2 linked regions of the Caenorhabditis elegans genome follow. The protein of the gene in region 1 purifies or fractionates together with the protein of each later gene. This does not show direct contact. Each region holds a gene or a part of one and is shown in the gene's direction. Other genes may lie near its edges.

Region 1 (6,877 bases):
GAACATTCGCTAGTAGCAATGTCAACGACAATCAGTTGCCATCACTCAATTCCTTCGTCTCTTCTTTCACCTTTTTCTTCTCCGTCGTCGTCGACGTCTTCGTTTTCGGTAATCCTGAACGATATATGAAACCAGCAAGTAAAAGTGTAAACTGGCGCGGGCGCGAAGTAAAAAAACCAAACGAAAGAGTATGCGAACTTTAGGTTCGCAGTGTGAACAGAGAAGCGTGCAGAAAAATGAAATTGACTTGAGGACACAAAAAACGCCAGAGAACCCCCTTTTTGATGATGATCGGTGATAATAGCTGTGGATAGTTCCTGCCACTACGGCTACTTTCGATTACTTGGAAATGCCAAAAAGGAAGTGGGACAAGAACTTAGTTCTTCGAGAGTGATGTTTCGATGTTTGAGAAATTACTGTTTCAGTGTTCACTTTTTGTGTTACACGTATAAAACACAGACAAAAATCAGTAAAGATTATAAAAAATAAGTATTTAATTACATTATTTCTTTTTTCATATATTGGCTTAGTCTTAAAAAATATTTATTACGGGTGGTTTTTAAAGAAAATTTTGAATTGCTTTTTAGATTTCACTTGGAATATTTGAAAACAGCGATCCACAAATTGTAGACCTTATACTCCAAAATACTTGTTTTAAAGTATATTTTGAAGAAGAACGGTTCGAGAAGCCTTTCAGTTCCAAATATGTGTACGGCTAATACTTTACTACACACTCCAGAGTTACAATACAATTTCAACATTCAACATTAATTCCAGACTGGTTATTAACAACGTTGACATTCAAACACTATTCTGAATACATATTTTCCAACGTGTACCACACTTGATCACGATAACTTCTTATCAATTTTTTAAAACTTAAGTGATGACGAAGTCCAAACAAAGCAGTTAGTATAAGTGTCACGCAGAGCAAAATAGTTGTCATTTAGGTCAATGTTTATCCAGAGGGGGAGAGCACAACTCTTTTTTCGGCGTACGTCTTGAGTTAGCTGTCTGTATGACGACGAGAAACAGCGGAATGTAAAGAGAAATAGGTAAGCACCGGGGCGCGACAATGTCCACTACATGTCAAAAACGGACGTGGACAGGGAGAAGCTTTTGGGAGCGGGCGACTTTACGAGAATTATCAAACTTTGAACTGGACAGACGGGAAGTACATAGAGATTGTGCAATGAATTTAAGTTTATTGCGCGGGTGGTAATGATAAAAATTGTTTTTTTTTCTATTAATGTAGCTGTATACTAAATTTCGAAAGTTTTTGCAATTCAAACAAAAAATGGAACACTAATTTTCGAACGGTTTTGTTATTATGTATAATAGTTTGCAATCAGAAATACTAAAGATGTATGTATAATTGCATCTAAATTAGTGATTATGGTGTCAAAATGACTCCTGCTTTAAAATAGGGACGCAACAATTGATACACTTAATAAATTAAAAATTGGTATTGAATAAAAACAAATTCAATTTTCAGGTTAAAAACAAATTTGATTGCATGAACTTATTTTGCAAAGTGGCACTACAACGTTTTTTGAAATAATAAAATTATGCGATGTTTTTTGTTGGAGGACACATAGACTATAATCCAAATAATAAGAGCAGTTTGAGCTATTAAAATTGAACCCCCAATTTCAAAAACATGATTATATCATTTTTGTTCTAGGTTTTTACCAGCAGTGTTTCGAAATCCCTACTTTTGTTTGTTTGAGCTTTTTACCTGACCTTTAAGTGTTAAGAACTCCATTTTCCTCTTTCTATTTTCATTTTCCCTTTCACAAAACACGGTACCTTGTACCTGCGAGCCATTTTTTAGATCAAGCTCCCGCCCCGCGCGCCGTCAGCTCCTCCCCACAAGGAGTTCGACCACCCTGTTTACATTTCCGGCCAGCGGTCACTCATTTCACGAAGTTGACCTACACTCGGATCACCAAGCACTTTTGGCTTCCGATTTGCTTCTCATATCCACTAGATTCATTTTAAATTTACTCATTTTACAGCGAAGCCATGAGACTGCTGCTCTTCATAGTGGCCTTGGTGCCGTTGGTTTTATCACAGGTAAAATAATAAGAAAGATGAATTACAACAACCACATTTTTCTAGTATTATATGCAACAACAGATGCGACCTGTTATGCAACCACAACAACAGAGAACAATGTATTATCCAGTAAGAACTAATTGTCAAAACAGATGTAATCAACAGACTAGATACAGGTGGAATGTCAGACCAACAAGTAAGTCGACATAGTTTCGTTTTTTGTCATATTCATATAACAGATATCCGGCCAAATGTTCAAGTACAAATTAGAACTATTCCGTCTGCACCAGGTCCCATTAGGCCAGTGGTTAATCCAGCTCCACCACTTCCAACACTGCCAACTCCGCCACCAAGCACTCTTCCCCCAATCACTTACCCTAGACCAACTGTTGGAGCTCCTATCACAACACAACAAGTTCTAATCACTGAAACTACTACTCAGGTAAGCAGAACAATAGTTAGTAATTCTTTATCTCCATTCTCTATTTTTTAGCCACCAACTACAACTACCACTCTTGAAACTCCAGCTCCAGAATCCACGCCGTCTATGGCTCCATCACATACAGACCCCACTCCAGCACCGGAGACTACTGTTGCACCAACAACAAAGTACTTGCGTCCGGAGCGCAAACAAACATCAAAAGCCAGTAAGTTTTTTGCCTGCAACCAAACCACCCACCCAACCCAGCATTTTTTGTAATGTTTGTCTGCGTGATCGAACAGTTCAACCAAACTGACCAAGCCGCCGACAATTTGAACGCGTTTCATTGCGTTTCAAAGCAACCACTTAAAAGATAATTATGTGTCAATAATAAACAAACAAATAGATATATAGTAGTAGTTGCGACTCCCGTTATATCAAAATGCATCTTCACACCTTTCCCTCCACCGTTTGCAGAATACTTCAACCCATGCGCCGTCGGCCAGCCACTTCTCAACGAATTCTCCACTCCAATCTCATGCAACTACTTGAACCAACCAAACGGAGGATGCCCAGAAGATCACTATTGTCACACAGGAGCATCTTTCTCCACTACCGCTTGTTGCCCATTAGTTTCTTCGGAAGACAGATGTGCTCAGAGAAGGGACACTGGAGAGGGAGATGAACTTGTAGCTAGATGGTATTTTGATAATCAGGCCAAAGAATGTAGACGTTTCTTATACAAGGGGATCCGTGGAAACGCTAATAATTTTGTCACCAAAGCTCAATGTGTGGATGCATGTGAAACAGGTTTAGATTTTACTTCAGTACTTAACAATATCACATAATATTATCACTCTTGATTTTTTAGAAACTGTGACTGATGAGGCAAACCCATGCAAATTCAGTAACGCTGCTAAATATAAGAATGGATCTCGTATTATTTGCGGACCGAACGATGATTCAATGTGCCCGAACGGCTATTACTGTCATATTGGCGAGAACCCGGAACTTACTGCTTGCTGTGAGAACAGTGGACGTGAGCATTTTTTTTTGTCAAACGTTTACTCTATTTGTTCTCTACCTCTCGCCAAGGCTCTATTTATTTTAATTTTACAGTAACCGATCCGTGCTTACTCTCGATAAACGTCGGACAGGGTAAAGCCCTCCTCAAGAGATTCTACTATAACACTTTCTCAAAGCGATGCACAGAGTTCATGTACAAGGGTACCAAGGGCAATGAGAACAACTTCTTGTCATATACACAATGCCAAGAAAAATGTCAAAGTAGGAACTTTCAACAAATACTTCGTTATTTAAGATTTTACATTGTATTTTAGAGTGGGATAACCCATGCCCTGTCCCAGTTAATTATGCTCAAAAGAAGGAATGTGGAATGGAAAACTCAAATGGAACTGAATGCAGTGCCGGACATTGGTGCCATATTGGAGCTTCCAAAGAATCTTCAGTATGCTGTCCAGGAGCTTCCCCAGATCCATGCTCTCTTCCAATGTTTTCCGGAGAAGGAACCGCGAATCTCACAAGATGGTACGCTGACCCAGCAGATAAGTCATGCAATAGACAGTGCAAGTCTTTTGCTTACAATGGAGCTAAAGGAAACCAGAACAACTTCCTCACAAAACAACAATGTGAATCTAAGTGTAAAAGAGAATGCAAAAATCCATGTGGATCAGGAACAATGCTTATGACACCTACCAACGAGCCACGCACATGCAGCCCAAGTTCGCCATGCCCAAGCTCGCACTGGTGCCACGTCGGAATAACTCCAGACACAACTGTGTGCTGCTCTGCTGTTCAGAATACGTGTGAACTCACAATGACGAAGGGTTACGGAAACTCTCATCTGACAAGATGGCACTTTGACAAAAACCTCAACAAATGTGTCAAGTTCATTTACAGCGGAGAAGGAGGAAATCAGAATATGTTCCTAACACAGGAAGACTGCTTGTCAGTTTGTCCAGTATTTGAGAATCCATGCGGCAATGGAAAACCGCTCTTGATTGGCACTAAACCAAAGTTGTGCTCTCCTGATGAGAGATGTCCATCCACCCATTTCTGTCACATTGGAGTTGAAGGATCGGAGAATTATTGTTGTCCAAAACGTATGTTTGTTCTAAAAATTTTAACTCTATCTAAAATATATATTCATAGATGGTGACCCGTGCCAACAAGCATTGGCTACTGGAACAGGAGGATTTTCAATTACAAGATACTACTATGACAAAGAAACTCGCCGATGCCGCGATTTCAGCTACGAAGGACAGAAGGGAAATGCCAACAACTTTTTGACTCTTGAAGATTGCGGTCTTGTTTGTCCAGTACTTCCAAACCCTTGCAGCTTGGGAGAACCACTGCTTAGTTTGCAAAAAGAACCAGTCATTTGCGGCGGAGAAGACACATGTCCAAACGGATATTATTGTCATGTTGGAGGTGCCCCCGAGACAACCAACTGTTGCCCTGGAAGTGAGTAGACTACTAGAGAGATATCATTTAGTTCACGCAACTGTTCAATTTTGCATTCTATTTCCAGCCCGTCGTCCATGTGATCTCCCATTAGAGGTTGGTCAAGGAGTTGAGAAACTCGAGCGTTGGTTCTTTGATGGAGGAATTCAAATGTGTCGTCCATTTGTTTACAAGGGAATGAAAGGAAACTCAAACAACTTCCTGACCAAACAGTCGTGCCGACAGTCTTGCAAGGAAATGAATCCGTGCGGTTATGGTGATCCGTTGGTTGACACCACCGGAGAAAGAATGTTGTGTACTGGTGGACAGAGAGTTAACAGCTGCCCACAAAATTCGTACTGTCACGTTGGATCTAGTGCTCTCACTACGCTGTGCTGCCCTAAGAGAAGTATGCGTGAATTCCATTTATTATTAGACACTTATTTTATTATTGAATTCAGAAATCGACCCGTGTGATCAAGCCGTAGAGGAAGGAACAGGATCAGAAGACTTGCCAAGATGGTTCTTCGATCGCAAACAAAACAGATGTGCTCCATTTACATACGGAGGAGTTGCTGGAAACGAAAACAACTTCATTAGTCAAAATACTTGTATGGAAGCATGTCCAGAATACAGAAATTATTGTCCGCATGGAATTCCATTGATTGAGGGATCAACAGTAACCTCGTGCGGTATTGACAAGGGATGTCCGGAAGGATTTATTTGCCACATGTCTTCTGAGTTCAATGTTTCCATTTGTTGCCAGGTAAGCTTTTCCAGAGTGAAAAGTTTGAAAAAGAGTGAAACAGGTTGAGAACAAATACGGATCAAACGGCACTACACGCTTATCATGGAGAAAGTTATCATTTATTTTTTTATTTTCAGGACCCAATGGATTTCTGCCTCTCAGCTCGCGACTCGGGACCATGCAATAACTTTGAGAAGCGATATGGTTATGATGCGAACACAGATACTTGTGTTGAATATCAATATGGAGGGTGTGAAGGAACATTGAACAACTTCCATTCTCTGCAAAGATGTACTGAAATCTGCTGTAAAGAATACAAGAGAAGACATAGATTGTAAATGTAATTTGTTTTCAAATAACTTTTCTCAATCTTCAATTGTTTTTCACTCTTTTTACCGGTAATTGTCGCTATTTCATTTTAACAAACAACTAAATTAACTCCCTTGAAAATCACCAAAAAGAGTTCTTTGATTGGATCTCCTTGTTTTTTTTTGTAATTGTCTCTCTCATTATTAAATATGCTTTCATTTTTTTGTTTTGTTCCATTCTTACCTTCTCTGAGTCGTACCAAGCTCTGTTTGCTCAGCGCCATCAAAATTGACCACTACCATCCATTTTTATAACAAAGATTTTTATACATTCATTGTAATATTTATTCAGTGTAATTGAATAAACATTTCACCTTAGCCATCTTTCATTCGACCTCTGTTCACCAACTGAACCTGATTAATCAAGTCAGCTGTTTAGTTCTGAAAAAATCACGAAGGGATCAATAATCCCACTTTTTGATCTTCAAATTTCAGATTCCCGATATTCGGAAAAAAAATCATATCAATTTTCTTCCCAGTTTTCAATTTCGTTGTTCAGGCTTCTCCATTTTCTCAAGCCTGTCTTCTCAAATTACAGAGATGCCCTTTCCATTCAGACACGCTTTTGCCGTGATTTTTGATCTAGTTTCCTCTGACACTTTCTTCTTTCTTTCAAATAATCAAAGGTAATTGACCTGGTAGACAGAATCCAAGGAATCTCATTTCATTCTCCTGTCTCATTGCCACCACCATCGCCACACACAAAACTTTCTCGATAATTGCCGTGAAGTTTGGCCAATCGATGAGTCATACTCCTCACACACACACTTATTTCTTTTTACTCTCCACTAAATACCAAGAAGCAAAACATTTATCGTT
Region 2 (5,539 bases), on another chromosome or scaffold:
ATCAAGGTGTATAGTTTTATTAATGATGTCATAGTATTAACAATTGAAGAGATTGTAAAGAAGCAAATGAATATGACAAATAATCGGTAAAAACCTCTTTTTTGCATTGCACAGGTTGTTTGAAAAAAGTTGGGGTTTACTCTAAGAAACTAGTGGAAAGTGTAGAGAAATAGCGAATTCAGAGGAAAAAAACACAAACATTTGTCATATTCTCTAAATTGAAGGCGGAGTAGAGTGAATTACTATTTTTAGTATTCGCAAATTCAAGCTACTCCACCTTTAAAACAAGATTATCTATCTATCTACATCTACAGACAAAACCACAACCGCAGTAGGTAGAGCAATCATTGGATCGTGAAGGAGCACAATATCCTGAGTTCGCGTTATAATAGTATCTACAGTTGCTATTGCAATCTGTGACTCTACCACGAGTACTAAGATATCGATATCCCTTAATAGCGTTGCGTTCGAGTGGCGAGTCAAATTGGTATCCCATAAACGATGATCGTCCATTCAAGCCTTTGCCTACCTTCCAGTCATACCAAGGATCTTTACAATTTACTGTCATCGAGAGCACAAATAAAGCCAAAAGACAGAAGGAAGTCGAGTGCCCAAACATTTTCCAACTTTGTTCTGAAGTTCGTACAAAATTTCTGAGTATATTCTAATAAACTCGAAATGGCACCGAGAAACCCAGTGTCATAAAGAGATTGCTTTTGTTTTTTCATTGGTTTTCTTCTGTTTAGACTAACAGAAAAGAATAGAAAAGCTATAGTTCAGCAGAATTGGTAAACTTTCAGGTTTTTGCTGAATCTAGATGTTTTAAACAAATGTTTGAACCTCCATGAAGTTTTCTTGAATTTTTTTTATAAATTTTATCATGAAAACGGTTTCAGGAACCATTCCAAGTATATAATAGTAACACAGAATAAAATAAAGGAAAATTTTTTACTTACTATCAAGAGGCCGGTTAGATTGAACGAGTCCTTCACTATGGTGGAAGTAGCAGATAAAACTTCAACACGGATTCAGCTTTTAAACAAAGTGGGTGGGCATACAGTAGGCAGACAAATCTGTGGATTGGTGATTGAGAATAACAAAACTCAAAATTGTAATGTTAAATCAACAGGAAACTTGTCACGGTCAAGCACAGAGAGCGCATTTTTGCACATGTTTCTGGCTAGAAATAAGGCAAAGTGACACATTTGATCGCCGTGCAGGGGCAGCTGTTCAAAAAGTTGTTGACAATTATTAGTTGAAAAAAATATGACAATTGTTGTGCTCTCAATGATTGGGAAGGTTCAAAAGTTCGAACAAATATATGTAGTTTAGTCCACCGACGCATGTTTTAATTCGAGGGACTAGGCAAATTTTGAAACAATCTGAAATGGGATACTAAACTTAGAAATTGATATTGAAAGTCAACAACTAGAGCACGAGCGAGCATCACAATTAACATTTCATAACCTTGTATTGTATGCCATATGATTTTATTTTCCATTTCCTAAAGAACGTGATCAAATTAAACAAAAGTACATTCAGAAAATTCCATTAATTTGAATTTAGAGATGTACTTTTACGAATCTATTTCAGAACAAATCACACAAAATTACTGATAAACTTTTTCATAGTTTTCACTTATTTGTTCAGTGTTGGCGAATGTTGAGTATAAGTTGTTTACGATAATTCGGTTTTGGTGATAAACTCCGTTTTTAAGGACGATAGAGAAGACCAAGTAGTTCGAACATTCATTTTTATTGAAGTTTGGGCTGCAAAATGACAGAGTCGATTGATGGAAACCCTTGGAGAATTCTCGAACTTGTGGCTGAGGTTAGTTATTGGAATCCTACTATGTAGTAAATATTTTAATTGAAAAATTTTCCGATTGAAATTTGGTTTTATCATTTCAAAGCCTGAGGGTAATCTCAATTCCTACCTGGTTAAAAACCCTTTTTTTCAGAATGAATATCATCTAGAACAAGACAATAATGTTGATCAACTTGAACAATTTTCTGTAATCCCCGGATTTCAAGAAGAACTTGTTGAATTTGCAAAGAAAAAACTATTGGATTCCATAGAAGTTCAACAATTTCTTGTGGAAAGAGATATTGAGTTTCAGGAGAAGTTAGTTATTCTCTATTTTTTTTTTCTAAATAAGAAAATAGTAATTAATTATAATTGTTATGTTTACAGGAATATTGCGTCACTGATAGATGAATTAAGTGATAATCAAGACGATGAGTCGAATTCCAAAGAAATACATTTGGAATTGAAATCTTCAAAAAACAAATATGAAGGTCTTAGAAAGAAGATCGCAAGTTTCAAAGGGAGACAACAGAAAGCTGTGGGATTTTTGAATTCTGGACTAGAGGAAATTCGAATTCTAACTTCTCCCAATGACAAATTTTGCTACAAAGTGAAGAATGCTTCTTGGAGGTGTTCGGTCGATAATTCCATTGATCTACAGAAGATCAAATTGATATGCGAGAAGTTAATCGGATTGGAAAAGAAAATGGAAGTTACATTTTGGACATCTGAGATCATGAAACTTCTAGAAAATCTTGATCAACGACATTATGCAGTAGCATTTGGGATTATTATTGGGATGGTAGGTTGCTAGAGATTTAGTATTCTTGCCTACAGTGATTTGCTCATTACAGGCAACTTGGGAATACGAAAACTCAGAAAAATATCATTTGCTGGCACTTATACACCTTTCAATTGGTAGAGATGAAACAAAGACGGATGTACTTCTGTATTGGGAGAATTGGGAGAATGAGTCAATTGAACAATCCATCGTTAGTTTGAGAATTTTGATGATTTTCTACATGAAAATAAGTATTGTGAGTTTGAAAGAATGCTCGTGGCAATTGTTGACTAAGAAATTATAGGATGATTTGGAGTGCAGGGAAAACTTTGAGTTCAGAATTTGCCAGGTAATCGTTTTCATTTTGGAGCACAAAGAGTTTGAGTCAAGCCACTTGACCATGATAACTGAACTCCTCGGAAGTATTGAACAACGATTTGGGAATTTCACGGAAATGTGTGACATTATGTTCACACATTTTGAAGCGAAAGCTCAGATGTTTGACAGGTTTGTTATTAAAATCTTTTTGATTGCTATCCAGGACTCTCACATTTCCTTCGACACTTGGAACGCACTTTTCGGCCAAACGCCGTTTCAAACTTTGTCAGGATTTTGGAAGACGTTGGTGAGACTATGAGCAGTAGGAGAAAATCGGATGTCTGTCCAACTTCTGCTCAATGTTTGAAACATTTCTAAAAAACTATCGGCGGACTTCTAGATTTTAAACTGATGAACCTTTTTTTGTAGCTATGAAGCAAAGATGCTAGTTTTCATGAGAAATGAGCATTTGTCTCTTCTCCAAACACAACACATCGACCAATGCATGGACACTCTGAATATTCTGATTTTATTGTACTTGAAAATAAAAATCGTGAGTTTGAAAGTAATTATCAGGACAATTTTTGATGAATAAGTTATAGGATAAGTGGACGTATAGAGAGATAATTGAACAAAGAATTTCTCAGTTCATCATTTGCATTTTGGAGCACACAGAGTTTCAGTCAATCCACTTGACACTTATAATTCAGCACCTTGAAAGTATCGAGCAACAATTCGGGTGCTTTTCTGGAAAGTTCGACAATATGTTCAAAATTTTTGAATTGAAGCTTCAGATTCTTGACAGGTTGGTTTTCAAAAATTTTTCCTTTTTTACAGTAACAGAGGAAAATGTTAACTCCGTTGTATGTTCACATAACGCTAACTTCCTCAATAAGATGAGGTTATAGCTTTGGTTGTTGTACTATTCAACTTCAACGTAGCCTTATGATTAAAAAAATTTCATTTTTCAGACCAGAACAAGAACGAGTTTCCAAATGGATAAAGTCGCTTTCTTTGCGTTCTTCAATCTCAGAGTTCTCGTCTGAACACTCTCATAGTACAGTTACAGTAATTGAGCACTCTGAGAAAACCTATGAGCTTGAACAAAACGTTCGAATTGACCTTGAGGAAACATTGAAATTGGAGAAAAGAATTGAAGAAGTATCGATAGAGGAATCCAAGAAGAAACAGGAGAAACTGGAGTTGAAGCAGAGAGAGGAGGAAGAAGCAAGAATCAAGGAAGAAGAAGAAAAACAAAGAAAGATTTTGGAAGAGGAAGCTAGGAAAAAACAGGAAGAGGAAGAAGCAAGGTTAAAAGCGGAGGAAGAATTGAAAATTTATGAAGAAGAAAAACGCAAGAAAGAGTTGGAAGAGGAAAGGAAGAAGAAGGAAGAACTGGAAATAAAACGGAAAGCTGAAGAAGAGAAGAAAAAAAAAGCTCTGGAAGAGGAAAAGAAAAGAAAAATCGCAGAAGAGAAAGCTAGGCAAAAACAGGAAAAAGAAAGAAAAAAGCAGGCGAATAAATGCACATTCCTCCAAAATTTCACATTTATCAGGCACCAACATCCATCTCAAACATATAACGAGCGAGTGCTCGATGGAAAAGTGGTTGGACTGTATTTCTCTGCTCATTGGTGTCCGCCATCTCGCGATTTCACTCCGGTTCTTGCACAATTCTATAGTCAAGTAGAGGATAACTTCGAAATACTATTCGTTTCGAGCGACAATAATACACAAGAAATGAACTTCTACTTGCAAAATTTCCATGGCGATTGGTTCCATTTGCCACTCAATTTGTGCAATTCAATGAAGCACCGAAATACCAAAAATCATATTCCTGCCTTAATAATAATGAAACCCGATGGAACAGTTATTACTGATGATGGACGAAATCTAGTTTCTCAATGGATCAACGATCCGAAAGCATTGGTCAACCATTGGAAAGCAATGTTGAACTGAAGTGCGAAAAGGATTTTTATGTTTCTGGTTCACTTTTATTTAATTTTTTTTTTCATTTTAAATGCTCTTTGTGTAGAAAATCTTCGCAAGTATTAGATCAGTTTTACTAATCTGCCTCTTCCTATATTAAATCCTGAAATTGCATTCTTGACAGAAATAAAAAATAAGGGCACGTTGTCGACATGGGGTGTCCCGAGAAATGTGACTGCACTTTGAGAGCTTATATCTTGGCTTAGGATTGGCGGTTTTTTGAGCAATTTGTTTCAATAGCTTACAAAAATAGCGCCTTCCATCGTCATCATTGTGGGGGGGGCGCTTTTGGGAAGGCTAAAACACTGATTTGAGCGGAATTCTGGAGTATGGTCGAAATGGATGTATTCTTTGTACTGACGAATTTCATGTTTTTTCAGCCCCAAATCTTCAGTTTTTCTGACATTTGGTTCCAATTTGTGCGCAAGAGAGAACTTCGTATTTCCAATTTTTTGAAACTATTTTGAAAAAAATTGGCCCACTTTCCAAAATGTAGACCATCATTCAATTTTTGCAAAATCAAAAAGATTAATTAAACGTGAAAAACTTTTCTACCACTCTCTCTCTTTCTCTATTTTTGGTGATGAATTCGATAATTTTCATTTCTTATTTTTAATAACGTGAGGAAAACTCAATTTTGAAGAC

Evidence for each region. Proteins that work in one complex are often made in the same cells at the same time.
Region 2: the proteins of C34F6.1 (region 1) and F17B5.1 fractionate together in Caenorhabditis elegans (co-fractionation; one large-scale study listed by BioGRID). This does not show direct contact.

Annotation. Positions count from the first base shown.
Region 1 is NC_003284.9:11,191,983-11,198,859, reverse strand, and holds C34F6.1 (BPTI/Kunitz inhibitor domain-containing protein), read left to right. Parts: upstream 1-2,018; 5' UTR 2,019-2,025; coding exon 2,026-2,076; intron 2,077-2,121; coding exon 2,122-2,254; intron 2,255-2,297; coding exon 2,298-2,500; intron 2,501-2,551; coding exon 2,552-2,705; exon of another isoform or gene 2,706-2,845; intron 2,846-2,956; coding exon 2,957-3,289; intron 3,290-3,350; coding exon 3,351-3,518; intron 3,519-3,598; coding exon 3,599-3,766; intron 3,767-3,819; coding exon 3,820-4,602; intron 4,603-4,651; coding exon 4,652-4,963; intron 4,964-5,030; coding exon 5,031-5,351; intron 5,352-5,403; coding exon 5,404-5,708; intron 5,709-5,827; coding exon 5,828-6,028; 3' UTR 6,029-6,375; downstream 6,376-6,877.
Region 2 is NC_003279.8:13,183,154-13,188,692, forward strand, and holds F17B5.1 (protein-disulfide reductase), read left to right. Parts: upstream 1-1,698; 5' UTR 1,699-1,776; coding exon 1,777-1,830; intron 1,831-1,960; coding exon 1,961-2,124; intron 2,125-2,193; coding exon 2,194-2,608; intron 2,609-2,660; coding exon 2,661-2,843; intron 2,844-2,891; coding exon 2,892-3,094; exon of another isoform or gene 3,095-3,334; coding exon 3,335-3,458; intron 3,459-3,507; coding exon 3,508-3,710; intron 3,711-3,876; coding exon 3,877-4,864; 3' UTR 4,865-5,039; downstream 5,040-5,539. Other genes in the region: rgba-1 (Defensin-like protein), read right to left, coding at 299-619.